Linked DNA regions of Schizosaccharomyces pombe. The protein of the gene in region 2 purifies or fractionates together with the protein of the main gene of each other region. This does not show direct contact. Each region holds a gene or a part of one and is shown on either strand. Other genes may lie near its edges. The genes, in order: prz1, rad25 and ssp1.

Region 1 (10,829 bases), 2.8 Mb from region 2:
ATAGCAGAAAGGAGCTGTTGTTACAGGTGGAAGTACTCTGACGTTAAAAATTCATATCTTAATTTTCATTTTGGTTTTTTAATTTGTTTTTGGACATTAGTATATATCTACGATAAAGGTTTTCTCCTTTTAATTTCATTGTAATATAATTCAAGACTAAAATTGGCTTTTCATTGGATTGCGAATCTTTCATTGAATACTATCTTTTCAACTTACATTGAACGTGCATGTAAGGATAGGAAATGGAATGCTGAGATAATGAACAATACAAACCTTTCTAATTAATTCAATGTTTAAAGCAAACTCATTTAGCGAAAAATTCTAGCTTATTAAAACAGCTGTCAACCAGGGCGTAGAGATTACAATATAAAGACCTTACTTACCCTTCTTAATGTACTACAATACAAAATCATAGTTAAAAGAGTAGCTTTTTACGTCCCTGCCGACTGTTTATGTAGATGCATGAAAAACTATGAGAATATAATTTAGTAATCGTTTATATAAGCTAATACGCATTAATATTATATTAATTCATAATGCTTAAAAATCAAAGCAATTTCAATTTCCAAGTGGGTTAGAAAGTACTAATGGGGGGTCCATATTCTCTTTAAGACATTACTCACTTGAATAGCAATTATGACTTCGTCTACTACCTCAAGTACTATGTGGGGGGGTTGACCACTTATGAAAGTGAACCTACTAAAGTAGTTAGTGATACAAAAAAATAACTAAGTGCGCAATAATTCTCCGTCAACAAATAAATCGTTGAACTAGTATTAGTATATTGGCGTATGTAAGCTAATATAGTCGTTGTTTGCGTAAAACGAATTCAAATGGCTCCCAATCTGTGTTAATACGTTATGTTATGTATGATATAAGCACATTGAACATATCGGGATGAGTCAGTACTATTTTATTATTAACAAAATTGGTTAGAATTGAATATGACAAGTTGAAGACTCAATCAGCTAAGTTTTGTCATAGATCGGATCGGAACAGGCGATTAACAGTGTTGTGCTGAAGAAAATAGACAACAATATGATCAATAGAATCAACATATAACAATTAATCATCATTCATCGAACGAATGCAAGCTTCGCGATTAAATAACCGCGAAAGATTTAGTGAACTAAATATTCTCTCAGCTTTTCATAAATAAATTAAAATTAAAACCCAAATATATTAGAAAAAAAATTAAACAAATGCCAATGAATTTAACAATTAGATCAGTTTACTTAATAAAAGTTAAGTATTGAACTTTCTGACCCTTAAAACAATAAAGAAGGATTAACAATAAGGATACGAAACATTTCAAGAAAACGGTAACTTCTAATCGCAATTGCTGCAGTATTAAAATGTAGCATGACGAGCGAATCTCAATCTTAAGAGTACACAACGAGGCAAAATGATTTTTTTATGTTGCTATCCCACACTTCTCAATACCGTTGGTAACTCATTAGTAATAGTGTTATTCTCACAAATCTCCTTAGCGGTGAAAATTCCAATTCCATGATTCATAATCAATTCTGCTAGGGGTAACTCATCAGTGTCATCTAAATCAACGTGATAAGGGATGTAATGCAGCATAGTCAAATTTTGAAGATAACTGCTTGTTTGTAGCATAGCAACAGGACACACTAATAAAGTGGATGCTTGAAACTCGGTTGTGTTTTCTTCAGGCAAATTGACGACTTTAACCTCTTCATAGTAAGTCTCCCAAAATTTTGATATCATTTGTTTTGTGGAGTAGTTATAAAGATGAGAGGTATTAATTTGGCTAAATTTTGGACGAGCAAGCATCCAAGTCGGAGCACTATAAATCTTCCAAAAATAAATAGTCGTGGGCATTTCCGGATTAAAATACAAATTACAATTTTCCATGGTTGTTACATTTCTCTGTTCGATAATATTTTTTACTTCCAAAACCGCAGGGATAACACCATTTTGATGCATTATGCCGAAGAAAACTGCCAAAACAACTGCATACATTACAAATAAAAATTTGATCCAATATGAACGAACTAGACATCCAGAGTTCACTATAAAAATAGAGGCTGCGGGTAGCAAAAACCTGGGCTCTTGGTGAGGAAACAGGGATAGTATGAAAACGGGGAGAAGCCATAACCAAGTTGCAGGTTTTCGAACGTCCCAAAGCTTTGGAACAAAAATCAGAGGACCACAAAGGAGTGGCATATTAGTGAAAAAATGTGTTAATCTTGAGTGCAATCCGTGCTGTGACAAATTTTCGATTTGAGAATTGTATTTTAAATTATTCCAAAATGTTATCACAAACACCCCATAAAACTTGTAGTCCTCGAGGATGCATGCTAAGACAGTTGCAAAAGAAACTGAAACAAAAATACATAAGTGCAAAAAGATGCTAATCCAGTTAGTGTTTATTCCATAATATATTTTTAATTCAATTTAAAAATCAAAATCACTTACTCTTTCGGATTGTTCACGTTCTTTTTAAAACATCGAACAGAAAAATAGATATAGGGGGCGATCACAAAAGCTAAAAAAGTGATTCTTGTGAAAAATCCTAATACACTAACAATTGCAAGCAAAAATGTATATAAATAACTAATTTTCTTGTTTAATGGCTGATTCTTGTTAGTTAAGAGTTGCCAGCTATTAACTTACCACACTATTCAACTTCGAAAGAAATAGTATAGTTAAAAAAAAGAAAATCGTTTCAATTGAGTTTGTAAAAGTATGTGTTTGAAATGTAGTAGCCATGAAGGATGAGGAATATAAAAGCAATGCACTCCATCTTGCGTTCAAAGGTACGATGTTCCAAATACTCAAATCTGCCAAAATTAGTCAAGGAAGGAGGAAATAAGGTTTGTAGTAAATTCTGAAATAAATTCCAAATTTATCAGAGCTTAATATTCGCCAATGTACATACCTATTAACAAAGAGATCAAACACATATAGAGTCTAGTGAACAACAAAATAGGATACGGAGAGCAGTTCGCTTTTGGATATGTAAGAATTTCGTTCAATTTAAAATACACTTACATTTGCAAATACACCGGCAAAGCAAGAAAATAGGTAAAAGCATCACATTCAAAGGAACTACAGACCGAATTGGTTTTTTAGTAGTAAATTCCCATGGAAGTTCCACTTTCCAGCCAAATAATTTATCTTTATATTAGTCATAAATTGTTGAAGAATTGTAATATACTTGCGAATATTTGAAACGATTGTAAATGCTCATCCGGATGTATGTATGAGCTGCCTTGCGAAAACCAAAAGCGTAAAATTAGGAGAAAAGTATAAATTATAGCATATTTACGGTTTTTAAACATCCTTAATCTCAATGGATAAAGCACGGGATTTATTGCTTCAGTGTGCAATGGATTACACGATGAAGATATAACGAGATATTCCGAACTATATATGTTTGTTATGAAAAAGGTTTGCTAAGCGAAAATGTAAACAACTCTTGGTCGACGGGTATATGTTTAAGAATACACGAAGCATACAAAAAGTATACGTTAAACTAATGTTTCAGTAAAATAATTGTACTAGAAGAATTGCAGGTCTTATTACATTTTAAATTAATCTAACTCAATACCCAAAACATAATTAATTTTAAACAAATCTAATATTAAAAGCCGTATTTTGGATCAACGATGGGGTAAAATCAATCACTAAGTATAAACAATGTCAACTCTCTTTAAAAAGGGCAAAAAGTTAATAAACTATAAACGAAGCCAAACGTAACATCAAAGATAAAAAATAATACAAAACCCTAAATGCAAAACTGTGCAAATACTTGCATCACATTGCAAAAGGAAATATAGTTAGACACCCATTAATCACAGGTGCAAGCAAAATGTCTTGCTTTGGAAATTAAAACATCATTTTTGTTTGCTTGTCGAGGCCACTGCTGTCTTTCTGGATGGCGGAACTTGAATTCCTCGTTCTGTGGCCGTGCGAAGACAATTTTGTCCAACTTCACTTTTATAATGTCGGTTAAGTGCATCCATGCGAGCAAACCTCTGATTGCAAGTGACACATGCAAAGGCTTTAATGCCAGTGTGTAACTGCTCATGTCTCCGTTTATCATGCTGTCTAGCAAATGATTTCTTACAAATCGAACATTGAAAGGGACGGTAATTTGTATGTGTATTCATATGACTTTTCAAATTATAAGCCCTAGTAAAACGCTTATTGCAACCAGCAAATGTACAAACGTAATTTCCTTGAGACTTAGACTCTGACTTTGCTTTAGACGAAGACGAATTTTCCGATTTGTTTCCTACTAGCGAATTCAATGATCGACTTCGAGGACGAGTATTTCTAACTGACAAATAATCGTTCGACTTAGAATTATCATTCTCTATTTTTCCCAGCAGTTCGGTATCTTGGTTAACAGATAGACATTCAGAAGAATGTGAAAAGTGAGTATATAATTGAGGTATGGGCTCATAAGCATCAAATCGTGAGCCAGCACTATTTGATCGATGACGAGCCGTATATGTGGGTGACATTTCAGGAGCACAAAGATTAGCGTTTTGTAAGTCATAAGAATTTTCATTCATAGCAGGTTGACCAGATACTGGAGATGCAGACTGGCTATAAGTGATACTAATGTCTGTTTGAAGAAGAGGATTTGCTGGCAAACTAGGTCCAGATTGGGATTTGGAAGGAGATGAAGGTACTACATTAATTTGTGGGGTACCCGAAAAGTTGTTTGAATCATAATTCAAAACGGAATTGCTTAAAGCGGTAGGAGAAATAGGGTCAAAAACGTGTGTTGTTAAAGAGGCATCTGCATGGTCCTCAGAAAAAGGAGAATTTACAGAACGAATAGTAGATTCTCTAGCATTTTCGCTGTTTAAAGTCCTTCCGGAGTTTGGAACAAGATATGGGGATGACTGGTGAGAAAATTCAGCGGAAGGACTGTTCTCAAATATGAAAGAAGGTGTGGAATGGTTAGACAATAAATCAACGGAAGGATTCAAATTGGTATTATCCGTATCAAAATCTATACCAGTGTTGCTTTCACCAGGAGACGCGTTCGTAAAGGCCCCCAGGCTCCCGGAAGAAGGTGGTTGAAGGTAGTCAGCAAAAGAACCGGTTCCGGTAATATTTTGTTGATTCTCCATCAATAAAGATGGATCTTCAAAATCAACAGAAGGAAATCTCTCTGAATCAACTTCAGTTCCAGATGCCTGTGACATTACATCAACAAAATTAAAAGCATCGGCTTCATACAGAGCACCAACAGAACCTTGTAAATATGGAGAACTCGGATTTGAAACAGATCCTGAGGGAAGGAAGGATGTTAATAGCTGAGGCGATGAAGATGGAGAAATTTCAGAAGCCGCAATTGCACGTGAAACTGGTAAGAACTGAGAAGAATCGATATTTGAAGACGGAATACCAATATTAAACTCATAAATGGATTGTCGTCTTGAGCCAACATTGTTAACAGTAAAGTCGTTGGCGTTATGAGTAGAACTCGAACCTTGAGTCAAGTCAAATGCTTGCGGACTATTTGATGGATTACTTAAAGGGCTAACGGAGTTTTCAAATACCGCTTGACTACCGAAGCCACTGACTGAAGTATCGTTCAGTTCTGTAAATGAAAAAGTAGGTACATTCCCGGTTCGAGGATAAGAATCATATTCATCGGATTTTGAAGACGTTTTAAAAGGCTCGGAGGTGTTGGGATGGAGGTGCTGAATATTATTTTTAGAAGGATTGGAAATTAAAGAAGAAGAAACTTCAGACGCAAGAGTATCCTCAAAAAGGGGGATATCAGCAAGCGAAGTGTCATTCATGTACGTATGCAACTCGCTAGAGCCTCCAAGATCCGGCTTTGAAAGGTTATCGTATAAAGAAGAAGGATTCAAGTCTTTGAATCTACGATTCGCTTCTTCTGACCTTTGACGCTCCATCGATGAAATTCATCAAATAATTAACTTTTGGAACGGTACGCTCTCAAAAATATTGTCTGAAGACTCACCAACTCTCTTTAATTGAATGGTTAGACAAATTATTTTTCAAAAAGCCTATAACGTGAATTTTTTGACCGAATAGTAGAGTAAAGCTGGTTTGTAGTAATAAATTGGATAAACCAGCAACACCAAGGGTGTGAAATTTATTAGTGGAATGAATAATTAATTACCAAAAGTATCGTTTAATAAACGAAAAAATTAAGACTTGAGGTCGTCAAAGTTAATCCAGTGCTTCACAGGATTTGATCAGATAACGACAGAATTTCTTGATACAAAATTTTGTATTTTGGAATAATGCGCAGGATAAAAGTCTGAGAAGATTGATGGTTAGTACAATATAATTGTTAGCTAAGCAACGTCAAAAAGGGCATTAAGCAATACAAATGAGAGGAGAGAGTGCGACAAATGAGATTTTCACAGATCGAAATGAGGAAGTAACCTAAAGGACAGCACAAGAGAAAACCCTTTAACGATTAGGAAAAATTGCAAAATTAGGTAGACAAGTATACAAGCGCAAATCGCTAACTCGACATGAAAAAAAACAGAATAGCCTCAATATACTACAGCGTCAGCTAAACGCTTTGATTTTCACAGAAAAAAAAATGATAGTTTAATAAATGGCCAGCAGATTATATATTTACAACGGATGAATTGCTAAATCATCAAGATATTTCTGCGATGTAGTGGTAAAGGATTGCACAAGACGTGATCGGGTAACGAATTTTAAGTAACACGCAGTTTAAACTTGAAGTTAGTATGAAGCAGCAGGATGCTAAAGAACAGTTTGCTAAACAAATTAAAAACAAAATATAATAAATTTCCATATACAAAGGATCCCAGTTAAGGAGTTCCAGAAATGAAAAAAAATTGGTTTTTGAAGGATATTCATCCAATTTTCTATTGAAAATTTACTGGACTTACTAAAGGGTGGCGACTTGTGTATAGTAAAGTGATGAGACATGTATTTTATACAAAGCACAAATAGCTAAATAACATGAATGTATGAAAATTTGTTTTATTTATTGAGCGACATCAAATATATATTCTAGTTTAAGGGGTAGGAAGCAAAGCCACATACTTTAAAGTGCCGGTTATTAGTTGAAGGCGTGCCCAAATGTAATACCACTTACAACATGGAGAACTTCCGTAGGCTTGTCAAGAAGCATTAAACCCCAAAGCTTGAAATTCATGAAATTAGCTTTTCAACACCATCCGAAACTCATTAGTGGGGAAGCAGAATAAGGTGTAGTACTACTTATAAATTGTGGAATAATTCTAAGTTGAAAACATAAAGTACTATAAATTATATGTAAGAGACTTCAAACCACCATGCAATTCTGACTATTGATTATTTTTGAAGAATCTTCTCTCACGATACGACGGACGGCGGCTTTGACGAGTTCCAGGCTCTTTGGTGCAGAGGCTTAGTTGAATGTTGTGAACGAAGCGGTTCATATCGGATACTTCAACCGATGTTCTGTCAACTAATATATATCATATTTGCAAATATCAAGAGCATTTCTTGTATTAGATTACCTAGATGCAGAAAATCCCAATTGTAATGCAACGAAATTGCGTATTGTAATAAATGGTATAATAATCTTATTAAGTATTTGTACTTCGTAGCAAAAGATGACTATATTGTGTTGTAAGAGCAACCTATACACCTCGTTTCGTAAGTTCTTTGATGGCGGAAGCTTCATGAGAAGCTAAAAATTCATAGTATTCTTTCAACCTCTGAAAGACTGATTCTCCGTTCCATAAGTCAATCCCTTCACTATTTTTCGTGTGTGCCGGCAAACCGTGTTGTTGAATGACAAACGAAGCGGCTACAGTAGCTTTAGCACAAGCTTCTATAATATTACCCGTCCTATAATACTCCAAGATTGCAGCTCCACAAAAAGCATTACCAGCCCCAGTGGTATCTAAAACGCTTCCGTTTTTCATTTGTACACTTGGCAAATGAAGAATTTCTCGCACAGGGACAACTGCATCGCTTGTAGCGTTGGTACTACTCGTGCATGCACCAATTAAACAACCATCGGACCCATTTCGAAGAACAACCCATCCTTGAGAATCGTGCCCAATTTGGAATTCTTGAAACGCAGATACAAACTCTTTGGCTCGAGATTTGCTTTCGCTAATATCTATACCCAGAAGGTTGGCAGAGTCCACCTCGTTTGGAGAAAATATATCACAATACTTTAAGGCTTTTTGTAAAATATGCCAGTTTTCCGGTAAACAGGATTCAGGCGTTGGCTCCCATACGATTTTAGGACGATTTTTTAGATTTCCATACTTTGCCAGTTCCTCACACACAGAGACAAATGTTTTAGGATTTGTAATAATATGAATTGTTTTTGCATATATCAATCCTGTTTCCAAAAGATCAGGAGCACGAATTGGCTTTTTAGGTGTAAGGTATTCAAACAATCGAAAACCATTGTCCCTGAGACGGTTGTAACCATATGTAGTTTTTCTCCAAGGCGTTTCTCTGTATACAATTCCAGTATGTAAATCGTTTAATTCATCGAGGATCACCTGCGGGAAATCAGAGCCTTTGTCAACAATCATTCCCAGTTGTTGACTTTCGGGTTCAGACGTCCAGAGTCTAGCACCAATCAATGCTGAAAATAATGTGTTAATTATTATTTTAATAATAAAAATATTGGACGCAATGCATCTTTTTTCTAAGGGAGAGGATTTCAACCTTCGATAAACAGATATGCTTCACCAATGAAGTTCGCAAATCGCTCCGCTTAAAATTTTAAAAAGAATTAGACACTTACCAAAAGATCCTGCACCTCCAATAATATCTTTAATCTTCTTTCCGCCGTCGAATTCAATTTCATCTATAATAAACATGCCTTGCATTCGTTAGCACTTATATGTGAAAGTTTTTACCAGTTGTGACGAATTCCACATCTTTCGAAGGATAATCCATTTTGTTAATCCCAAAAAATTACTGTAAGTTGTTTTTTTCTTAATTATAAGAACATATATTGCTTTAATGTTGGTGCATTAAAAGTCAGAGTTAGCGAACATCTGCAGATAATCTACGTAATTATCAATAAACATCCTGCACTCTGTATAGTAATTTAAAGGTAACATGGCGAATAATTAAATAAAATATTTCATATTTATGAAGGAAGTGTTGAATCATGCTGAAAATTAAGTATCCGTAAAAAATGTACTTTTGCATTTGCTTACTTTTGTATGAGATGAATGGGCATACTACTACATACCATATATCAAGCACACATGTCATACTTAGAACATTGTATTTTCCTAACGATATATAGGAAGTACTCATCATTCTCAAAAAGGAATTATCACTTTCCAATATAAAATTAACTAATCTAAGTGTTAGCAATGCAACAGTCCTGACCAGTCAATTAGCAAGCAATATAGCTAAGTCTACTCTTTTATAAAATTTCAAATGTTACTTCCCAAAGCTTTGCTCTTTAGTGCGGAATGGTAAGATTGGGAAAAAGAAATTGAAGTCGTCTAATTGCATCTGGGTTACGATGCTTGTGATTTGTTTGAATCCCATTTTGAACACTTTCTCGCAAGTTCCTTCCCAAAAATCCTTGCAAAAGTGGAGCTTCTAACTTTTTGACGGCTTCCAGTAAAAAGATTTTTGCATTATCTTTATTGTTACTGATATGTTCCATCACGGTTTCAACAGTAACAGGCTCCTCATTCATGCGCCAGCAATCATAATCCTATTTTTTGTTAAAATTCCTTCCTAATAATAAGTTCAAAGTACTTGTCTAAAAAGCATGGCTTTGATTTGAGAGGTACATTGAATGTTAAAAACTTACTGTAGCCATGCAAACCATTTGGTAGGCAATCTCAGCTTCGCGAGCTAGTTTGGCTTCGGGAATGACTGACATGTTGATAATACTGGCTCCCCAGCTTCTGTATAAATTGCTTTCTGCACGCGTACTAAATGCAGGACCCTCCATACACACGACAGTAAGATCATCTCCTTTGCGTTTGGTATGTAATTTAGAACCATTTTTTAAGTTGGAGCCGCATGAACTTAAAATTTCATACAAGTCTTGATCAAATGGATCACCAAACGAAACATGAGCTACACAACCAGATTCAAAAAAAGTGTTTGGACGAGCACAAAGGGTGCGATCAATAATCTGTGTAGGCAGAACAAAATCCTCCGGTGGAATATCCTCCCTCAAAGATCCAACAGCGCTGAACGAAACAATTGCCAAAACACCTAAACTTTTTAAAGCTGCGATATTTGCTCGAGATGGAACTTCTGTAGGTGTATAAATGTGACCGACACCATGTCTAGCCAAAAATGCAATCAAAAAACCAGAGGTTGTGCGGGCAATGGAAATTGGAGAAGCTGGATAACCCCATGGCTGAATAAAACGTTAGCAAATCCCAACTTCCAGTTAATCTTCATCATACCGTAATAGGATTGACACTTTCGACAATATCAAATCCTGGGAGGTCATAAAAACCGCTACCTCCAATTACTCCAAGAAGAATTGGCTCAGCTTGTTTGTTCATACTTTTTTCAATGAGGGAATGGATAAAGTGCTGAAAATGGGTAGCAAAACTACACCTTTAGGGCAGATGAAAATTTTTGCGAGTTGTCAATGTCAAGGAATAAAAGATTTTCAAGATATTTAAAAGAAAGTTATTTGTTATTTATACATTTTAATTATTTTTTTTTTTTTTTTTTTTTGTTGTAAAAAAAATTATTATTTATTTAGCTAGTCATTACAAAATAACGATTCTTTTTTTGATGAAGTAAATTTGTTTTCTTCTTTTTATCCAACTGCTATGTTTTTTACATTTTTTCTAATACTCAGGAGTGCTCTAGTGGTT
Region 2 (9,500 bases):
TGCTTGTTTTACATTTATCCATCACACTTTCTTAAACCAAATAGGTCTCCATTATTATTTCAGTGTTTCATTTTGTTTCCTTTTTTTTTTTTTTTTTTTTTTTTTAATTTACAATTAATTTTTCTACCACTTTTTTTTCGAGTGGCATTGCATACTTTTCATACACTTTCTATATATTCCATTTTCCCCCTCAATTCGATTTTAAAATAATTCTTCCTGGTCTCTTCCTTCTAATCATGTCTCTTTTATAGCCTAGCTCTTAATCATCATGGATTCATTGTCTGCATATCCTCCTCAATCCACCTTTCAGCAACTTCAAAATGACGAGGAATTGGCCCGTCGTCTTCAAGATGAATGGAATTCTTCTTCCCCCTCTTCTGCCCCCTCCTCATCTTCTTCCCAAAACCAAGTTGAACTAGACGAACAATTTGCTAGGTCCCTTCAAAATTCACAATCCTCTTCCTATTCTCTTCCTCCCTTTGATCATCCTCCTTCCAAAAATCCTACTTCTTCTTCCCTTTCCACTCGCAAGCGATGGCGGCAAAAACGTCTTTGGTCTTTTAAAAACTTTCCCTTTCGTCCCCCTACGCGCTTAACTTCTACTCCCTCAAACTCATCATCTCTTCCTTCTATTCCATCTTCTTCGTCTACTCCATCAATTTCTTCTATTCCACATACCACTTCTTCCGTCTCTAACGACATCCCTTCCGTATTAGGCTCGAGTGACCACCCTATTGATCTTGATAATCCCGAACATTTGACTCCTCCTTCCTCCTTCATTACCGCTAAACAATTGAGTCGTCTTCCTACTCCTCTTCCACCTCCATCATCTTCATCCCTACCTACCGGGACTATTAGTACCAACTCTTTTTGCCCTTATGAGCGTAAGGTGCAACCAGAACATGTCACAAAAGAATTGCATCAATTACTTCAGCATAATACTCCCAGTCCGTTCGACACGATCGACCTGCAGTTGAAAAATGAGCAAGTACAATCCGCCGGTTTATTGGTTTCTCTTTTACCACATCAAGTCGAGGGCCATGCTTGGATGGAATCCATGGAGCAAAGCTCCAAGTGTGGTGGGGTTATGGCCGACGACATGGGCCTTGGAAAAACCATTCAAACAATTGCTTTACTTCTTACTCAAAAATCCCAAGACCCTCTTCGTAAGACAAACCTGATTGTGGTTTCTGTCGCCCTCTTACATCAGTGGGCTGAAGAATTGTCTACTAAAGTGCACCCCAGTAAAAAATTATCCGTTTACATCCATCATGGGTCCACTAAGAAAAACTTGGACTCTTACGAACTTTCTCAATATGATGTTGTCTTGACTACGTATTCAATGCTTGCTTATGAAATGAAGCAAAACGATGCGTTTAATAATAACAATCCCGCTACGGCAACTCCGCCGCCAGCCTGTTCATTGCTAGAGACTTCCTGGTATCGCATTGTTCTAGATGAGGCACATACCATTCGTAACCGCGACACTCTTGCCGCTAAATGCTGCGTCAAACTGGATGCCAAATATAGATGGTGCCTAAGCGGAACCCCCATACAAAACCATATTGATGAGTTTTACAGCCTCTTAAAGTTCCTCAGAATAAAACCATATTGCGTGTGGAGCCTTTTTGCTAAGGATATTTCCAGACCGCTAAAAAGTTATCGTGCAGATATCGTTGAAGCTGCTCTTAAACGTCTTCGCATCCTTTTGGCTTCTACGGTTTTTCGTAGAACTAAAGAGACGAGGGTTAATAATTTGCCTATTGTCAACCTTCCTCCAAAAACCATCCGTACCGTCTCCGTGAACCTTCTTCCTGAAGAACGCGCGCTCTACAATGAGCAAATGTCTAGTGCTCAATCGCTCGTTGATAACTATTTTAACAATGATCACGATCTTTCGCGCTACGGGTTCTTATTAGTATCTTTACTCCGTCTTCGCCAATTTTGTTGTCACCCATGGCTTGTTAAGAGTTCTAGCTTGGATAACAGCTTTAGAATTAGAGATTCCGAAAACGTCAGAAATGCTTGCAAGTCTTTGGATCCCTTGACCATAGAAAGAATTGCTACACTACAGGATTTCAACTGTAGTGTTTGTTTGGATCCTTGTTTGGCTCCCGTTTTTATTATCCCTTGCGGGCACTTTACATGTCAAGAGTGTATGAGCATGCTAGTCGGCCAGAAGTATGGATCATCAAGCACTTCTACGATCATAGCAAAGTGCCCAATGTGCAGAGGTAATATAGTTCAAGATTCATTAGTTGATGCAACTATCCTTCAAGCAATCCATGGTCCTTTAAACTCTTTAAAGCAATTAGAGTTAGATATGAATCAATCTTTTTCAGAACAAGAAAGCATTAAATTAAGGTGGGAAAATCGTATTGACCAGATGTTTACCAAAAAATTTGGCAAGCGGGCGAGCGAATGGAAAAGCTCCTCGAAATTGAATCAAGCAAGACAAACAATTTTGGATATAATTGGCTCCAAGAGAAACGAAAAAATTCTGGTCTATTCTCAGTTCTCCCAGTATTTATGCCTCGTATCGCACATGCTAAAATTAGAAAATATACGACATGTTCGTTATGATGGTACTATGTCTGCGAACCAGAGGCAAAAGTCCCTACATTCTTTTAATAACGATAAAGATGTTTTAGTCATGCTGGTTTCATTGAAAGCCGGCAGCGTGGGTTTGAATTTGACGATTGCAAATCACGTTATTCTACAGGAACCATTTTATAATCCGAGCATAGAGGATCAAGCAATAGATCGTGTTCATCGGCTTGGACAGCAGAAGCCTGTCACCGTGTATAGGTTTATTACTAAAGATACGATTGAAGAGCGTATCGTCAGTGTTCAACGTAAGAAGCGTCAATTGGTTAAAGAAGCTTTGGATTCAAACGAAAACAATCCTCTGTCGAGACTTGACAAAGAAGAGTTGCTATATCTATTTGGGCTTAATTCATGATTATTTAATGTTAACGTTACTCAAATGAACTATACTCTACTGCATACTAAACTAAACGTTAAAAAAAGGGGTGGTGTAGTGTAACGCATGTACAATGTATAATAATAGTATGCTTTGATGGTTTTAAGGCCACAAAGCCAAACTAACTACTCATGAAACGTAATCAAAGTTATAAATTTATAAATGATAGAAATAAAGTGCAAGAAGAATATAATGAAGATAACTTTGTTATATGGCTACGAATATTAGATAAATCATAGGTATCAGTTCATATATGCAAAAGTAATCAGACCATTAGGATCCGTTTACTGATAAAATGCTAACGCTTTAGTTTCAAGCTTTAACAGTGTCAGTCGTAGACTCTTTGGGCTCGGGATGTTCGTTTTCAGAAGCAGCAGCGGCAGCAGGAGCCTCCTCCTTAGCAGACTGGTTGTATTCGGCGTCAGAAGTCCATAAAGTCAAGTTATCGCGAAGAAGCTGCATGATTAAAGTAGAGTCTTTGTAAGATTCTTCAGAAAGACTATCGAGCTCTGAAATGGCCTCATCAAATACTTGTTTAGCCAAATGGCATGCACTTTCTGGAGAGTCAAGGATTTCATAATAGAAGACGGAAAAGTTGAGAGCCAAACCCAAGCGCATAGGGTCCGTGGGAGGCAACTCAGCAACAGCAATGTCAGAAGCTGCCTTGTAAGCTTCTAAAGAGCTGTCGGCGGCCTCTTTGCAAACTTCGCCAACAGTAAATTCGGCCAAATAACGATAGTAATCACCCTTCATTTTATAGTAAAATACCTTGGATTCACCGGTTGTAGCGGCAGGAATCAAATGCTTTTCAAGGACGGAAAGGACGTCATGACAAATATCGGATAACTCATCTTCAATCTTCTTACGGTACTCTTTAATCAATGCGGCTTGTCGAGTGTTGCCCCTACTTTCCTCCTTTTGCTCTATAGAGGAAATAATACGCCATGATGCTCTGCGAGCACCAATGATGTTTTTATAGGCAACAGAAAGCAAGTTACGTTCTTCAACAGAAAGTTTATCGTTTGAGCATGCAACTTTCTTCATATTTTCGACCATTTCTATACATTATCAGTTAGCAAAGAAGCAAAAACAAAAAGGAGAGATGAAAGAAGCAAAGCCAAGTATAGACGGGTCAACAAACAGTAATTCAAAACGAGTTATCATTGCATGGTGAAGATATGAAGGTAATAATATCCTTAATTGCGTTGAGGTTTACCTACAGAACGGTGTTTCGTGTTACTCCTGATGTTAGTGAATTTCTTTGTCTTGGTGGTTACAAAGAAACCTCAAATCATAAGAGGAGATAAGAATGATAAGACAATCAAGGCAGTTCAATCGTGGTTTTAAGAGAAAAAAGGAAGCAAGGTAGGAAATAGAACAAAGGCGACAAAAAATAATGATTACGAAAACCATAAAATCAAGAGAATTGCAAGCCGTTCTTGTCCATAACCTCAGATATCATAAACATGTCCAACAACAAAACAATGTTGTAAGAACTCATTTTAAACCTCATCAAGCGATTTTGGGGACATTTTAAAATACACAAGTCATCCACGTACTAACCCATAACCCCTCTTTTTCTCAGCCGCATCAAACAAACAACCTTGCAACATTCAACAACGCAACCTGTTCAAGACCAACAATATTAAAAAACCAAAGAACTCCCACATACAGTAGCAAACTGCAATATAATAACTTTTCATCAAGGTCCCTTCATTGACAATTTCGTACTATTACGCTATATCTACTTCCAACAGCGGATCCTTATCACATACCTTCGTAGCGTTCAGCCTGTTCGGCCAACTTGGCGAGATACACCGAGTTTTCACGAGAATTACTCATATTTGCAAGGAATTATTAAAAGCGGTGGTTAGTTGAGGTTGGTAGAAGTGAGAAAGGAAAGTTGGGAAGGTTGGTTGGTCAGCCGAATATATGACGGACTATACTGAGATTTATGGATATCTAACAGAAACATCACTACACCTCTCTTATTCTTTTACAATATCGTAAAAATACTTCTTACACGTATGATTAGGCTTCCAAAAACAAATGCCAAACAAATGCCCAGTGTCAATAGGAATTCGGTAGAAAACGCGTTTTTACTCACTGAATGAGGAATTGCTGTCTTAAAGTATGTTACAATAAGTTTTTCTTTCGAAAACAAGATACCAAGTATCAAACATAAGCGTGAAAGATTACAGTTAAAACAATGAGTGCAATAATTGAGGAAGCTTGACAGAAACAAGAGGCTTACTTTAGGGGCAAAGAAGTTTTAGAAGGTTTTTTATCACTCTATGCAGGAAGCTTCAAGAAGAAGGCGTTTTTCTTTAGTTTTCGATGGCATATGCGATATGCTTGAATATCCGTAGGAGGCGGCGAAATTCCATTATATTACATTGACTACAAAGGAGTACAGTGAGCTGAAAAGTGTGTGTTATTATGTAAGCTGCTTTTCGGCGTTGTCATCACAGATTGGTGATTACCGCAAACGGTAATTTTACGAACAAAAAAGATCAAATTACATTGTGCTGATTAATTGCTCCTTCAACTTGTGTATTTTAAACTTAATACTTCTTGGCTTAAATGTAAAGTTTTTTAATTCTCGTTGTTCTAAAATTGCATACTGCGTTTATCATAAACCTTTCAAGTTTCCCTGAAATTGTTTCTGTTATCCTGAAACAATACGATATTCTTATATGAAAAAGGTATGAGTTGATTTAAACAAGATAATACGACTTTATAATTTCAGGGTTATTGTTCGCTCATTTCACTTACACGTTTGATGGGGTTTCTACTGCAATGCTGCAGTCCCGTTGTGGGCAACTTGATTGCGCGGTAATACGAAAAGTAGGATTTTAAATTGTTACAAGGGACAATCTGGTTGGGATAAGATTTTTTATAAGTCGCGGTACTTATTTTGTCTAGTAAACAAAACCGTCCTCTTATGTGCAACTTCAGCAGAATTTACTAACCAATTCTATTCATCCTTACAAGAAAATAATTAATTTGCACCAATTTGAACCTGGTTCAATATGTGTAGGCCGGAAATGAATTTAATTATGCTGCATTGGATTCTTACAAATACACTTCAAAAATATTGATGAAATTAAACAAAACTATGCTTAAAGATACTGTATTTTGTCTGGTATATGATTTGGGGGTCTTTAAAAAATTGCCTTCCATATCAATGATAAGCGTCTTAGCTGCCACACCTCAACAACACATCTCTAAAAATTGGCATTTCCTCTGTTGTTTGAGTTTTGTGAAATTATTCTTTAAATATTTTTAATAAATTCAAACCTCTCAATCAAATGTGGGCAGAAATCCTCTCTTTCTCACCAATAGAGTAATTATATAAATAATCCACAAACCGTTAGTTTGTTAAACCAAACGCTATTCGATCTCTTTGGCATTATAACTATTTTGATAAACCAAGAATAATACATTCATTGCTATACAACCTGTCAATTCTTAGCATCCATAATCCTGTTTGAATTATGCCATCCAATACATCCCGGTCAGTGCCTACGGGCTTTTATTACAAACAAAATGCTAGGATGCAGAACAGGCCTAGATTTTCTGATCGTAAACACTCGAGTAAATCTAAACATCGATTTCCAGTGGACCCTAGTTTGCAACCAGACGAAGCGGATGAGGGAACAAGATTATTGGGAAACAGTGATAGTGATCTATTAGAACCACCGTCTGAGCATTCAAGTAATGGGGAAGATGACAAGGATATTAATAACCCTCCTTCAATGCCTAGTTCTGTTTGTTCTTCCCCGAAAAGTCCACACCGTCACTATGAAAGCGATGAAGACATCGAAAATATATCACTGCCGGAAAGCCATCCAGAGGACATTCAAAGGAAAGAATTTGAGACGGAAAATGGGAAGAATACAAGAGATCAACCTAGTCCACTTGCTGAGGTCAGTGACTTTGCTATTTCATCCCCCCATGTCTACCCTAAATCAGCTAATTCTCATGATAGTCACTATGAACAGTTTGCAAACAACGACGTGACTGAGAGTGCTGTTGATGATCATCCGGCTACTCGAAAGTTATCTCGGGATGAGTTGTATTTACCCATATCTCCAAACAATGCTCAAGAACCAAAGTTTTCTGTCCTTGATGAATGGACCAAAAAGATGGTTGCCAATTTTGAAGAATATTCGGTAGAAGATGTTGATAAGCGTCGTGAAAGAAATAGGAAGTTGAGTGAACCGTTACTTGTAAATGGCCGTTATCGTGTTCGTGATCGTTGGGCTCAATTTCGTAAGTCAGAAATTGAAAAACCATATCGATTTACATTCTTTACCGATGAGCTTCCTTCTACTATCCATTCACATGAAATGTGGGAACTCGTTCACGATGGCCAAAGCTTTGAGGACCTTTTCCATTCTGGAGGAACTTGGTGGCTAGATGTCTCTTGTCCAAAGGAAGAAGAAATTCGAGTTCTGGCAAAGGCTTTTGGAATCCATCCTTTAACCGTTGAAGATATTACTCTCGAAGAGGATCGTGAAAAAGTCGAGCTTTTTAGAACGTATTACTTTGTTACCTTCCGTTCATTCAACCAATTACCCTCAAACTCTGAGTACCTAAAGCCGTTGAATTTTTATCTAGTCGTCTTTCGTGACGGTATAATTACTTTTCATATGAACCCGACACCGCATCCAGCTAATGTTCGTCGAAGGATTCGTCAACTGAATGGTTATCTGACAGTGAATGCAGATTGGATCGCATATGCATTGCTGGACGATACTACAGATGCTTTCGCTCCATTCATTGAGCAAATTGAAGATGAAGTCGACACAATTGATTCCATGATTTTGAGTATCCATTATGATCACGTAATGGAAGTGAAGCCTCAAGAGAGAATGTTGCAGCGCGTTGGTGAATGCCGCAAGCTGATCATGAGTTTGCTACGTTTGCTTGCCAATAAGGCAGATGTTGTTAGAGGTCTTTCCAAACGATGCAACGAGTCATGGCAAGTAGCTCCTAGAGGTGAAATTGCTTTATATCTTGGTGATGTGCAGGATCACATAGTCACTATGGTTCAAAATTTGAACCATTACGAAAAAATTTTATCTCGAAGTCATTCAAATTATTTGGCTCAGATTTCTATTAATATGACACTTGTTTCGAATGAAACAAATGAAGTCTTATCACGTTTGACTATCTTGGGTACAATTCTAATTCCGTTGAACTTGGTTACCGGTTTATGGGGTATGAATGTTAAAGTTCCAGGACAAGACGTACCAGGACTTGGTTGGTTCTTTAGTATTCTTGGTAGTCTGATGATTTTTGCGATTTCATCTTTCATTCTTTGTAAATGGTACAAAGTTATTTAGCTCTTACTGTATGCTTGTATTTTTGCCTGAGAGTTTTCCCCCCAGGGTTACCTTGTAGCTCATTTATTTCTTTTAACATGTTTTCAAACATGGCAATCCGAATTTCTGCACAACAGCCGAGGAACCAAGTCGATCTCATGGAGTAAAATTAACTGTATTTTCTCGTTTCTGTCCTTTATTGCTTGAGTCGTGACTTTATCTCAGTTTTAAAATTAATGTATTAGACCGTTTTCCATTATCAGAAGATTACTCATTGTGGAATATGCTTTTTGTTTAAACAACTCACCATTACTTGCAAAAATATTTATTAAAAAACGACTAATAGATAGATAATTATGATTATTAATCAAATATACAACGAAAAGAGTTAAAAAACGATATTAAAGATGAAGCTTGAATGGGGAGAAGGGGATTCGTCGTATCAGTAATTTTTTTTTTTTAATAAAAAATAAACACACTCGACGTCTTGGTATTTAACACTGCTTCAAACTATTTTCTCGAAATAAGTAATGCATATTGCAAAGCAATAAATAGGAGAAGAAATGTCTCATCTAAACATTTTGTAGAAATTATAATACGGTTGTAAAAACAGACATTAGTGAAAACGAATAACAAACGTACTAGAAATTTGACACGTAGCGGAAACCATGCATGCGAATATAGATAGCTCACATTTATAAGAGGTCTTAAAGCTCCTCAGAGGAGAAAGATTTTTTGGGATCCTTGGGTGCCAAAAATGAATCTGGGTAAATAACAGCAGACATATTGGTGATATCGTTTATAGAAGGACCATATTCCGAAGGGCCATACTCCGAGGGAGCGTATTCCATAGACGAAACGTGCTTTTCGGTGAAAGGCAATTTGCTTCTCTCGAGAGCAGGATATAGAGAGGGAATCAAAAGGGCCGAAGTAAAAATCATCGGGATGAAATCAAATATATCGAACCATACCTCATGAGTAATGACCGCACCTTCCCAACCTTGTGCCAACTCAATAACACGATAGACGGAACGAACTACCATTGCAAATGTTGCGAGGGCTAGACAATTACAGGACATAGTTCGAACACGAGTATATGGAACATCTGGTTCCCTTCTGCCAGTGGAAGGACGAATGGGATGATGGGTATATAACGCAATGAAAAAAATGGAAAACAGGATAGAAAA
Region 3 (11,370 bases), on a different chromosome or scaffold from region 2:
CAGGTGACCGAAGGATTCATTGGCATACTATAGGGCCATGAGATCTTACCTTCTTCCAATATTCAAAACTAAGAGTTTTATTGATTTCAGTGCAAATTTTGTAGTGACGAAATTTTTTTTTGCTGAAGTGATTGTTTAAGTATGAAACCTGTGTCTCTTGCCAAGTATATTCAAAAATCACCATTTTTGACGAAATTGCTTTTACCCATCTCCAATGCCTATGTGCATTTGTCAGGATACCGTAAATATGGTCTTCGATACGACGATTTGATGTTGGAGGAGAATGACGATACTCAAAAGGCGTTATCTCGTTTGCCTAAGATGGAATCCTACGATCGAGTCTATCGTATTCGCCGTGCCATGCAACTTAGCATTGAGAATAAAATTTTGCCAAAATCTGAATGGACAAAGCCTGAGGAGGATTACCATTACCTCAGACCTGTTTTAGCTGAGGTTATCGCGGAGAGGAAAGAGCGTGAGGCCTTCGACGCTCTCATTGTTAAGAAACCCGAGACTCAAGCCCATGCAACATCTTCTCCTGCTCATGCTCATTAAAAGTTTGCATGTCCTCCTTTAATCCACTTATTCCTCTCATGAAAACCGACAAGAAAATTAAAAGAGTAGTAAACGGATGTGAGAATTTTATTTTCTAAGTAACCCCCAACTCCAATTTCTAAAAAGGAAGACAATTTATGCACGTATCTTATTTCATCGGTTATATCAGTCGACAAAGTACGTGGAAACGAAAGTTTTTATATTGCTGTTTATCTGTACTTTGACTTTACTATGTGTGCGATTAATTTTCTACGCCGCTCTGTTTTTGCTTTGCTCTATTTTAACTACTGGTATATCTCCCATCTCTTTGACCTCTCCTCTCTATGCTTTCAGTTTTCATATTTTAATTGAACAACGATTTTTTCTTATTTTTTATTTTTTGTAGCTGCTTTTTCCTTGACTGTTATCTTTGAAAGAGAAACAATTTTTTTGTTTCTTAGTTTCGCTTTCTGAAGATGATTTTGCAATTATTCTCTCGCTGAATCAATTATAGCTAATGGTTGGTATAACATAAGTTAGTGAACAAAACATTGTAAGGCAAACCAACTAATGTAGTATTTTTTTTAAATCGTGATATCAAATTTTAAACTTGTTAAACAGACAAACTTATTTTGAGAAATTTTATGACAGTTTGGCATTGTATTTATTGATTTAATTAAGCTTACTCCTATTTGACTTTAGGCATACTCTTCCTTGTACGACTTCAAGCTCATGAGCTTTTCACTATCTGAAATGTTGTACCCAGAGTCATAATATATGAACCTCCGATCGACGTAAAGTATTATTGAATTTAATTTTATTTATTTCCGCGTTTGTTTAACTTGTTTGAGGAACTTGAAAAATTACAAGAAAATCATGTACAATTTTGTTCGAAATATTTATTGAATATGCAGGGGAAAATCAATTATAAAGACATTACTCAGAAAGAAATGTTCAATGAAATATTTAAAGAATATGTTAAGGAAGAGAAGCAGATCGATTTGGGTACTTGTGATCAAGATTCTGTACACGACCTCTGGCGACGCTTTGTAAAAAGATGGAATGATGGAAAAATGAAAAGTAAATGGTATTCGTTGGGAAAGAGAATATCTCAACCCTCTTATGCTCGTCTTGTAGGTCCAAGTCGACCAACTTTGGAAAATTTACAAGATCGACGAGAATTGCAGGAGCAATTAAACGAGTTGAGAAAGCTATCCCGAAAATCAGCTTTTAAATCGCAAGCTAAAAGGGAGACAGAATTGTTGGATGAAATTCTTCCAAAAGAACCAGCAGGAAGCAAAGAAGCTATGCAACAGAAAAAGAAGGAAAAACGAGCTGCTTTGAAGCATTATCGCGAAGCATCTGACAATGAAGAAGACTTGAAAGAAACCGACTTATACGGAGACCGGGACTCATTTCAGTCCCGATTGAAGCAAAAAAAACAACGGTCAGAATTCAGGGCTTCAAAACGAGAAATGGAAAGACTTGAGCGCGACCAAGAGCTTCGAAATAAAATTGAGGAAAGAAATAAAAAAGAGTTAGAAACAATTGAAAAGCTACGAGAGTTAGCCAAGGCTAGGTTGCAAGGTTTTTCTAGTTGATCATTTTAGCAATTACGCCGACATTTATAAAACCAAAGAAGTGTGCAACTATTCATTATGATTAGAGCTTTTTAACTATGAGTCAAACATAATGAGTATTTAATTTCTCTCAACTTAAGATGTATATGACTTTATATTAAAAATTCACAAATTTAATCAAAGTATAAAAAATGAAAAGCGTTTTAGAGTTGTTCGATTAAATATTTTAACTATAACCAAAAAGAAGTCTATTGAGCATTAATAATTCGTAAATAGTGCGTCTATAACCTAACCTAGTGTAAAGCATTGTCATTCTTCAACGAAGCTGGTATAGGTGCAACCTCAATTCTTTGGATTTCCAATGACTTGTCTCGTAGAAAAGGGGTGGCCTTTCCAAAAAGCCTTGGTTTACCATGATTGCGTTCACAAAGAAGTAACTGATCAAACAGTGCCACTCGGGGATCATTTAGATCAAGCTCGCATCGATCGCCAATGAATTCTGCAAATGCCTGTGAGCTACAAAGTGATGAAATCCAACTCCCGTGAACTTTGGAAGCTTGCCGAGTAAATTTATTGAAGTCGAATGATCCTATAAGACCACCACTTCCTTTAGAAATACCAAAATTTTCACGAGACATATGAGGTTTGCGTAAATAATTCCGATATGACCCTAAGATTTTTATAAAGAATTTTAAAAATGTCACTAATATCTGCTGACTATTAAAACATGCTGGAACACATGGCATTGATATATGTTTTATGAAATCCAGATTAACACGTAGCCCACAATTATCGCATTGAACATGGACGTCACCCAATGCATATCCTGAGACAGCGCAAATGGAGCCAGCGCTATCCGCGGGAAACATTTTATAGATGCGTCTCAGCTTATGCCCCTCTTTGTACATAATGTGAACTTTTTGTTCTCCTGGCTTAGAACTCACAAGGTTCACAGCAGATCCGGTGTTAATAGAACCAGCTTTATTTTGATTAGATTCAGAAGAACGAAGTTCAGGGACCGAATAAGGTGATGTGAGGGAATTTCTTCTTATCGTCGATTGGAAAGAAGAAGAAGAAAACCGAAACTTTGAAGAAGATGGAGAAGCAGGTCTCGTAAAAGGGGGAGAAGAAAAGTTGCGAGCATGCTCAGGCGCCTGTAAACGCGCATATAAAAGTTTTGAAGCTGATGACTGGCGCGAGTCAGTTTGCTTCGCAAAATAAATACTCGAAGGATTGTCTTGAAGCTTAAGGAAACCGTTTAAGATAGGAGAGAGTACATAAGGCCTTTTGGAAAAATTGGAGCTTCTAAAAGACAAAAGTGCTGGGATAGAAAACTTTTCTCTCAAAGGAAAACATGTAACTGTACTCAACGAAAGGACATTATTTGGATAAGTTTCCATTGTGTACTTTGGAGGGCTATGTGGTACATAAAATTTATCATGAAGTGGCGCCGCAAGCTTCAGATGGGCCTGTAACTTAGATCGCAATGAGCGAGAAAGACGAACAATTTTCCCAAACGTAGATACAGAATTTTTATCAAGGTCACAAACAACAAGCGGAATATTGTCCAGAGGAACGTCGTCCATATGAAAAAAGTACGATAGAGTGCCAATAATGTACGAACAAGGAGCTTCAAAACAAGATATCAAACGCCTGGGTAAAACAGGAATATAAAGCCCTTGCCACGTAAGAGGATAAAGCAAATGTAGTAAAGCTTGTGATGCATATCCCAGCATTCCTAAGTTTTCAGACAAAAATATAACTTTAGCTTCCATTAAAGCAGCCTCAAAAAGAACAAGAATATTAGGGATACTTAATGCACGAAATAACGGATATAAGTCAACATCATTCCAACCTGGGATTTCATTGACTGGACTCCTAAATGCGTAAAGATTTAATGGGCCGACATTAACTTGCAACTGCAGAAGTCCTTTCGGCGGCAAAGGAACATCACAGCAAATGTTTTTTACAAACGATTGAAGGTTTAGTGATTTAAGGGAATTTAAATCTGACGAAGGGATAAAATCGAGATCTTCAGCTTGAATAGAGGAGCATACTATTCGAAGCCAATCCCGACAAAAGGACTGCAAATGTGAATGCTTACTCAATAATCCATAAGCATTGGGTATCCATAAAGTCCTGTTATTTGTCAGTCCATGAACAAATCTAGGTAATTTATAGCGCATAGGACGAAGAAGTTCAGTATAAAGAATAATGTTTTCTTCACAGACATCAATCTTTTCCAAGAGTATAGGATCGATGGAATCACTCCCTTCAAGTTCCTTTTCTTGCATTTTTAATAATAATGAAGAAAGTTTTGATCGCTCCGTTTCTAAACTGGATAAAAGCTTCTCGGCAACCTCACGGTCTTCCACAGTCGTATTATTAGCTCTCCAAACTTCACATTCCTTTTCCAAGTCATTTTGCATAGATTGAGGCATTGCAACCCAAACTACCACGCAAATCCCATACAAGTGGCTGTTATTGTCACTGGTCAAAGCAAAAGAGTGGTAGGTTGATACAGGTCTAACATCCGATTCTTTTATAGTTATGTCGTTAGGAAAAGCAAACATCGGAACATAATTAGGGAAATCACAACGGTCAATAGTCGGTGTCTCATTTTTTATGTCCTTGGAAGAAGGGAATTGATGGAGGAGAGAAGGAGGATAGCGTCTCTCGAATGGATGGGTAGCAGCGAATAAGGGCAGGGCATCAGGATATGCAACATAAGACTGATACAAATCATTTTGGGTATGCGTAGTACCGATACTAACGCGGTTTTGTAAATGCTCTTTATCGATGACAGAAGGCTCGGAGTATGGCTTTCTGGAATGATACTTTCGAGGTGTTGAAGTATTAGAGGATAAGCTACGACGATGTAAGGACGTAACGGAGGCATGGTCAAATGAATCCTTTTTTTTCTTGGTCGGTGTGTTAGATGTTGAGTGATGATAATCTAAAAACGGCTTCTTTGGACCCACAGAATTGGATCCAGTGGTGTTGTGATGCGCAAAGGTATTTTCTTTATAAAAAGAAGACTCAGAAGTGATTGACACTCTTTTTAATGGCGACTTCCTTGTATTGTTTTGGATGATAGAACTAGAAACAGATATGGCGTCTTCATCAAGTCTATCTGCTCGAAATTGAGAATTGGATACACTCACAAATCCGTTAGAGAGACCTGCGAGAAAGAAATGATCTGCGATACTTTCCATTCCACTCGCAACTTAAAGCATCGTAAATGATCGCAATCGCATATGCAATAATTAAGGAAAAGATAACTTGTTTTGTAGCTTATATTATATTTTTGAAGAATAAACTTACTAAATATGCCACAAATCGATTCCACATAAATCGTGCGAAACTTTTTTCGTAAGGAATTGGGCACTTCAACGCTAACAGTATAACTATTCCTACGCACTTTCCAACCTGTTCAAATGCCAATTTAACTACAGATCGCCAATACCTCAAAAAGCATCCTCCATACACTAAATGGAAAACGGTAACTTGCGACTGTTTATGCAGCAAAATGTTCGATAGAAAAACATAGCGCACTATAACCTTTTATCTACTAAAGTGAATATAGCAACGTACCATGACCCGAAGTATCACCACAATAGGTTTAAGGAGTCTTATAGCTGCCTTATTTGGGAAAAATAAATTTTTTCCTATTAACTTACTAACTATTTTTGCCATTCGTATATGTGAAATAAGTTCCTTGTTTGGTTTATTTCTATTAGAAATTACTAATTTAATATATGAAAAAAGAAAGACATCAAACGTGAGCCCAAAGAAATCAACTCCCTGGCTCATCTATAAAGACACGAAACATCTAAAATTAAGTAATTCACAAAAGGTGTAAGAAGTGAAGCACACCGATCATTAAGACAGTTGTCAAATTGATTTTGTAATGCGGATTCCTGTTATTCGTAGTCCGCTTGAGGTAAGGTATTGTAGGATAGCTAGAAGATAGAAGAAAGTTAAAAGTCACTTTAAATTAACTTTTTTGTGTTTCGATTCATTTATATTTATTTGTGTGAATTTTGCTATGAGTTGAGTCAGACAGTAGAAAAAGCAAATGTCGAAGATTGTTGTTGTTGTATAATCGAAAGGGTAATGTTACGGATCAACGATTCACAGCATGATTCATAATCATTTATATAAAAGAAAACATTTCACATTCTTTTCTTTTCTTTAGTAAAATCAGTCGACAGACTGAACGATTGTGTCTAATTATAAGTTTACTAACGCTTTAGATTCGTGATACAGAACGAAAAGGCCGAGGAGTATTTGCTCTTGAGCCTATTCCAGCACAAACATGCATTGAGATTAGTCCTGTATTGATGTTCAGCAAAGAAGAATATGAACAACATGGACAGTATACAGTTCTTAACGAATACACATATGTTTGGAGCGAAGGCAAACAAGGATTAGCTCTAGGACTTGGAAGTATGTTCAATCACGACCGTCATCCAAACGTGTATTGGAAAAAAGACAATCGCAATAACTACATCTCATATTACACATTACGAGAGATAAAAACAAATGAGGAACTCTGTATTTCATACGGAGATCATCTGTGGTTCGAAGACGAAGCATCATCTGCTTCACGAATAAGTCCAAACGAGGAAAATGAAGATTTTCCCTTACAAAATATTAGTTTATAAAAATTCTTCATACGTCCAATTTGTAGGCTTTAGAAGATAAAATTTCTCAAATGGTAGCAATATTGCTGTCTGTCTTCTAAATCACACCATACAAAAGTTGCCCCACTTCACCTATATTCAATAGATTTGTATCACAACAGCACATAGAAGAAATTACAAACTAGGTCATAAAAAAATAATAAAATGATATTTATTTCCTATGCCAGGAATAAGAAGAATTCATCAAAAAAACCAGTTTCAACGTCTAATCAGTAAATTTTTTTTGCTCATAGGAAAAAAAATCACGATATACGAGGTAAACAAAAGGCACATTAGATAATAAAACATTTTAAAATAAACGAGTAAAACGAGTGGAATGCGCAAGAATCATCAATAAAGTCACCTTTTTTCCAAAAGACTTGGAACCTAAGCGTCTTATTTAGAAAAAGGAAAAAAAAAGGCTTCTCTTGAGATGGGGCAAACATATAGGACAAATAAAAATCTAAAAGGTCCGAATGACATGATTTGATGAAAACGAATGACAAAGTGTTATTGAACACTAGGTAAAAAGCCAAGAATAAGAAATGAGTAATTAAAAGACACATGCAACCTACATTGCAAAAAAAAAACAATTGAATAAAATTGGGAAATGTTCATACAGCACTCAATTAGTTGGTGTGAAGGAATGCTCAATGCAGTAGATAGGTGTGTCAGAGCCCCCGGCTAAATGAAGGTTAGGTGATGATACAAAACCAGGAACCACTGGATGAAAATTGGACGGATTAGCATCATAATTCTCATAATTACGAAAAGTAACGACAGGCATTCCACTTTCCTCATGCTTCGCATTTGGAGATTCGAAAGAGGCTACATCATCCGTATCCATCGACGTGCGACTATACGTTTCGAAATGACCGTTAATGGATTTGGAGACTTGTGGAATAGAGTCGCCGGTATTATAGCTGCAAGCATCATCAGCATCTTGATTGTCATTGGGAAATGCCTCATAGTCCCAGCCAAAGTCACATCTAGGCTTTTTCTCAGAACTATTACGACCCATTTCGACAGGATGTACTTGCTTTCTTTCACGATCCTTCTGAGACTCATTCACCGCAAGCCGATTAAAAGAATCGGACAACTCGGACGCGGATAAACCAATTGAAGAATTACCAGAGCTCTCAGGCCGACAAATGGAAGAGTCGGAAGGAACAGAGGAGGAAGAATCAAACACTCGCGCTTTTGGACGGCGGAAACGAAACAGCTTACCAAGTTTTCTGCGAAGACGACCCACAAGGCTGATTGCAGAAGCAACTTCGTCTGTAGAAACCTCAACACGACTGACGGTACTGGGATCAGTGTTTTGCAACCATTTTTCAGGATCCTTCAAGCCATCCAATGTCCATGGGTGAAGTTTTACTTCTACAAGTGTTATACGTTGTTCAGGATCTTTGCATAATAATCTTTTAAGCAAATCTCGACCCTCTTCACCAATGTCGGGTGTAGAAGGGATGTTCAGACGCTCATTGACGATTTTGTCAAAAAGCTCATACTCCATGCTAGCATTAAATGGACAACGACCAAACAAAAGGCAAAACAAAGTAACGCCTAAAGCCCATACGTCTATTGCTTCAGAAATCTTAGGCCTTGGGCGATCCAAATCGGTCCAGCACAATTCAGGGGCGAAAAAAGCAGGAGTGCCGACAGTTTTTGCAAGCTCAACGTCGTTGTCTTCATTCAGGCCAGCGTTGGCAATGTACGAAACACCAAAATCAGATATTTTGACACAATTAGAAGAGTTAAGGAGAAGGTTGGCGGGTTTAATATCTCGATGAATAATGCCTTGGTAATGTAAATACTCTAGACCCAAGACAACATCGCGAAAGTATTGTCTTGCCTCGCTAATCGAGAGTACGGGGGAGTCACAATCTGTCCATGGCACTTCCCCACCACTCATGTACTCTAAAACAAGATACACCTTCGTTGAGGATGGATCGTCAATGACCTCGCGCAAGCGGACGACATTAGGATGGACACATTTCTTTAAGATGGCAATTTCGCGACGAACTTTTTCCTTTTGACTGGAAGCATTGGCTCGGCCCAGTTTCGGACGACGTTCCGTCTTCGGGATGATCTTGATCGCCAACAGTTCGCGGGTAACGGTATCACGGCCAAGCTTGACTTTACCGTGCATACCACGTCCTAGTTCTTTTATAATCTCATAGTGGTTAATGTATTTACGACCCGAAAACCGATCAAACCGCTTTCTTATCTTTTTTGTTTCCTTCACCTCGCCCCATTCTTGCAGGCGCTTCCACTGGCGCTGAGCCTCTTGAAAATTATCAGAATAAAGACGCTGGTTATGCTTACCAGGTTGAAAAGTCCATGAGTGAGTTAACGAACTTCCTTCACGTTCTCCGCCCAACGGGGCTATTACATAATCTCCCGCGCTGTAGTTCCGTTTACGAAATGAATCGGACGTTTTCTGGATGGCCTTGTGGACGGGATATTCAGGAAAGACAGAAGGAGGAACTTCGCTATCGTCTACCTCTGGATGCCAAGTATTTTTCCGTAAAAGACGTTGTGGCTCAATTAAAGTTTTTTCTTCATTATTCACTGATCCCATCAGGAAGTGTTCCTCGAGTCCTCTTAAATAGCTTCAATAGTCAATAAGTACATGAATTACCGGATTTACTAATCGAGCTTTTCCTCTATCGGGGACTAGGCAACTCGTATTTCGGCGGGGCTATAGTCGTAAAGCTACCAAGCTAAATGACTCTGAAATTTATTTCTTCTTTAAGACTTGTAGATTTTTAGTAGTCCTCAATCTCCAAAATTGATTAATATCTTGTTTAAAATCAAGCCTACGTTATACTGGTGGTTGGAAAAGGTTAGGTACATCTATACCGTAGCACGACACCTGGTGAGGGATGACGATGAGCACTTTTGGAATGATCATTTTTGCGAAGTACCTTTCACTATTCCGTATTACACTACTATACGTAATCCTCCTTTTCCAGATAGTAGACGGGATGGTTGCTATTTCATCATAGGTGGGACTAACGAGAAGTACGCCTGAGAAGAAGGCTTCATAATAGAATACTATTTTCTTACAGAGGTTTTTTGGTACGTAAAATGTGTGGAACATCAGAAATATTCTATAACAAATTTCGATTATTCAAAATATTACTTTAAAACAACTACCACTTTTTCTCACAAGTATGGAAACGTTGATAGTAAAACCCATAAATCCAAAGATTTTTTTTTTTACATAATAATAATCCTTTACTTCATCTACAAGCATAGACGATGTGCCGATAAACGGCATTAGCAAAAAAAATTTTTTGCAACATGACCAAACTGCCGGTATAATATATCATAATTGCATACACAGTGTGTAAGTATGAATACTTAGATGAGAGAAAAATCAATGGCAAGATTAAAAGAGAATGGCAAAAGCTATATTTGGTCACCAATTTAGATTGTGTACCGCAGGTGTCTGTGTAATAAACATGAAAAAAATCTGCATACAAACAAACATCAATTGCTAGTTGAAGAGAAGGTCTTATACTCTTTGCAACACTTCTTTAGTTTTTCTTGTGTATTAAATTTTTTACTTTTTTTAAAAATATTCATTTATAATCTTACACACTATATTGACAAGTATCTGTTAAATATGCCTTAATTTGTGTTAAATTTACCCTCCAAAAAAAATGTACATATGTAATCTAAGAGACAAAAGGTATATCTAATCCTCTCTTTTTGGCGCATCAAAATAAGATAATCCAGTAGGCTAACTCAATTGAAGTGAGATTCTTGCCCCCAAACTAGCTTATTTTTAACTTTTTTTAATTTATTGAGCATTGGGGAGTAGGTTTCGAGAGGCAATACGACTTTGTTGAATCATGACAGCATCCATAACGACAAGAGCAGCCATGGCTTCAACGATGGGAATGGCACGGGGAACAACACAGGGATCATGACGACCCTTGGCAGCAAGAACACCGTCACTACCATCGTAACGGCTAGTTGACTGTTCTACGCCGATGGTAGCAGGAGACTTAAAGCCAATGGTGAAGTAAACGTTTTCGCCATTGGAAATACCACCTTGGACACCTCCACTGTTATTGGTCAAGGTACCAAGCTTGCCAGTATCAGCATTTCGGTAAAAAAGATCGTTATGCTTGGATCCAGCAACTTTGCAGCCTTCACGGCCTGAGCCAATTTCAAAAGACTTGGTGGCAGGAATACTCATCATGGCATGAGCAAGCTTGGCCTCAAGTTTGTCAAAACATGGTTCACCAAGACCGGTGGGAACATTACGGATCACACAGGTTACAGTACCACCGATGGAATCGTGGTTATCACGAGCTCGAGTAATACGTTCAGCCATCTTGGCGGCCGTCGCAGCATGAGGACAACGAACAGTGGTTTTATCGACTTCCTCTCTCGTAATTTTATTGAGGAATTTCAGATATTCAGCGGTTATAGGAGATTCAAATGTATCATCCTCTGGGTCCAATATGGCGGAAGAAGCGGTTTCGTGCAATGGAATGGCTATTTTGCCTACACTGGAAACAAAGGCAACGATTTCGACACCATAAGCTTCTAAG

What was found.
Region 1: the proteins of rad25 (region 2) and prz1 purify together in Schizosaccharomyces pombe (affinity purification with western blotting, with the first as the bait; one study listed by BioGRID). This does not show direct contact.
Region 3: the proteins of rad25 (region 2) and ssp1 purify together in Schizosaccharomyces pombe (affinity purification with western blotting; 2 studies listed by BioGRID, with this or other methods). This does not show direct contact.

What each region holds. Positions count from the first base shown.
Region 1 is NC_003424.3:783,253-794,081, forward strand, and holds prz1 (calcineurin-responsive transcription factor Prz1), read right to left. Parts: upstream 6,661-10,829; 5' UTR 5,913-6,660; coding exon 3,867-5,912; 3' UTR 3,526-3,866; downstream 1-3,525. Other genes in the region: smp3 (alpha-1,2-mannosyltransferase), read right to left, coding at 1,423-2,380, 2,446-2,603, 2,644-2,810, 2,909-2,977, 3,022-3,147, 3,188-3,311; SPOM_SPAC16C9.01C (carbohydrate kinase), read right to left, coding at 7,632-8,599, 8,762-8,839, 8,877-8,916; mta1 (S-methyl-5-thioadenosine phosphorylase), read right to left, coding at 9,437-9,697, 9,797-10,357, 10,407-10,508. UniProt on the Schizosaccharomyces pombe protein: Involved in the regulation of calcium ion homeostasis. Binds to the calcineurin-dependent response element. Transcriptionally regulates pmc1.
Region 2 is NC_003424.3:3,579,955-3,589,454, forward strand, and holds rad25 (14-3-3 protein Rad25), read right to left. Parts: upstream 4,888-9,500; 5' UTR 4,826-4,887; coding exon 4,759-4,825; intron 4,042-4,758; coding exon 3,296-4,041; 3' UTR 3,174-3,295; downstream 1-3,173. Other genes in the region: rrp1 (ATP-dependent DNA helicase), read left to right, coding at 269-2,962; vacuolar CorA family magnesium ion transmembrane transporter Mnr2, read left to right, coding at 6,481-8,334; tco1 (RTA1-like protein), read right to left, coding at 9,021-9,500. UniProt on the Schizosaccharomyces pombe protein: Acts in cell cycle and stress checkpoint signaling by sequestering signal transducers regulated by the checkpoints. Required for the DNA damage checkpoint that ensures that DNA damage is repaired before mitosis is attempted.
Region 3 is NC_003421.2:1,876,727-1,888,096, reverse strand, and holds ssp1 (calcium/calmodulin-dependent (CaMKK) protein kinase Ssp1), read right to left. Parts: upstream 9,651-11,370; 5' UTR 9,384-9,650; coding exon 7,425-9,383; 3' UTR 6,782-7,424; coding exon of another isoform or gene 6,371-6,781; 3' UTR 6,058-6,370; coding exon of another isoform or gene 6,025-6,057; 3' UTR 5,787-6,024; downstream 1-5,786. Other genes in the region: qcr7 (ubiquinol-cytochrome-c reductase complex subunit 6), read left to right, coding at 142-555; SPOM_SPCC297.06C (uncharacterized protein), read left to right, coding at 1,443-2,135; SPOM_SPCC297.05 (diacylglycerol-binding protein), read right to left, coding at 2,408-5,329; histone lysine methyltransferase Set7, read left to right, coding at 6,025-6,057, 6,371-6,781; aro2 (chorismate synthase), read right to left, coding at 10,611-11,370. UniProt on the Schizosaccharomyces pombe protein: Involved in actin localization and thus in polarized cell growth.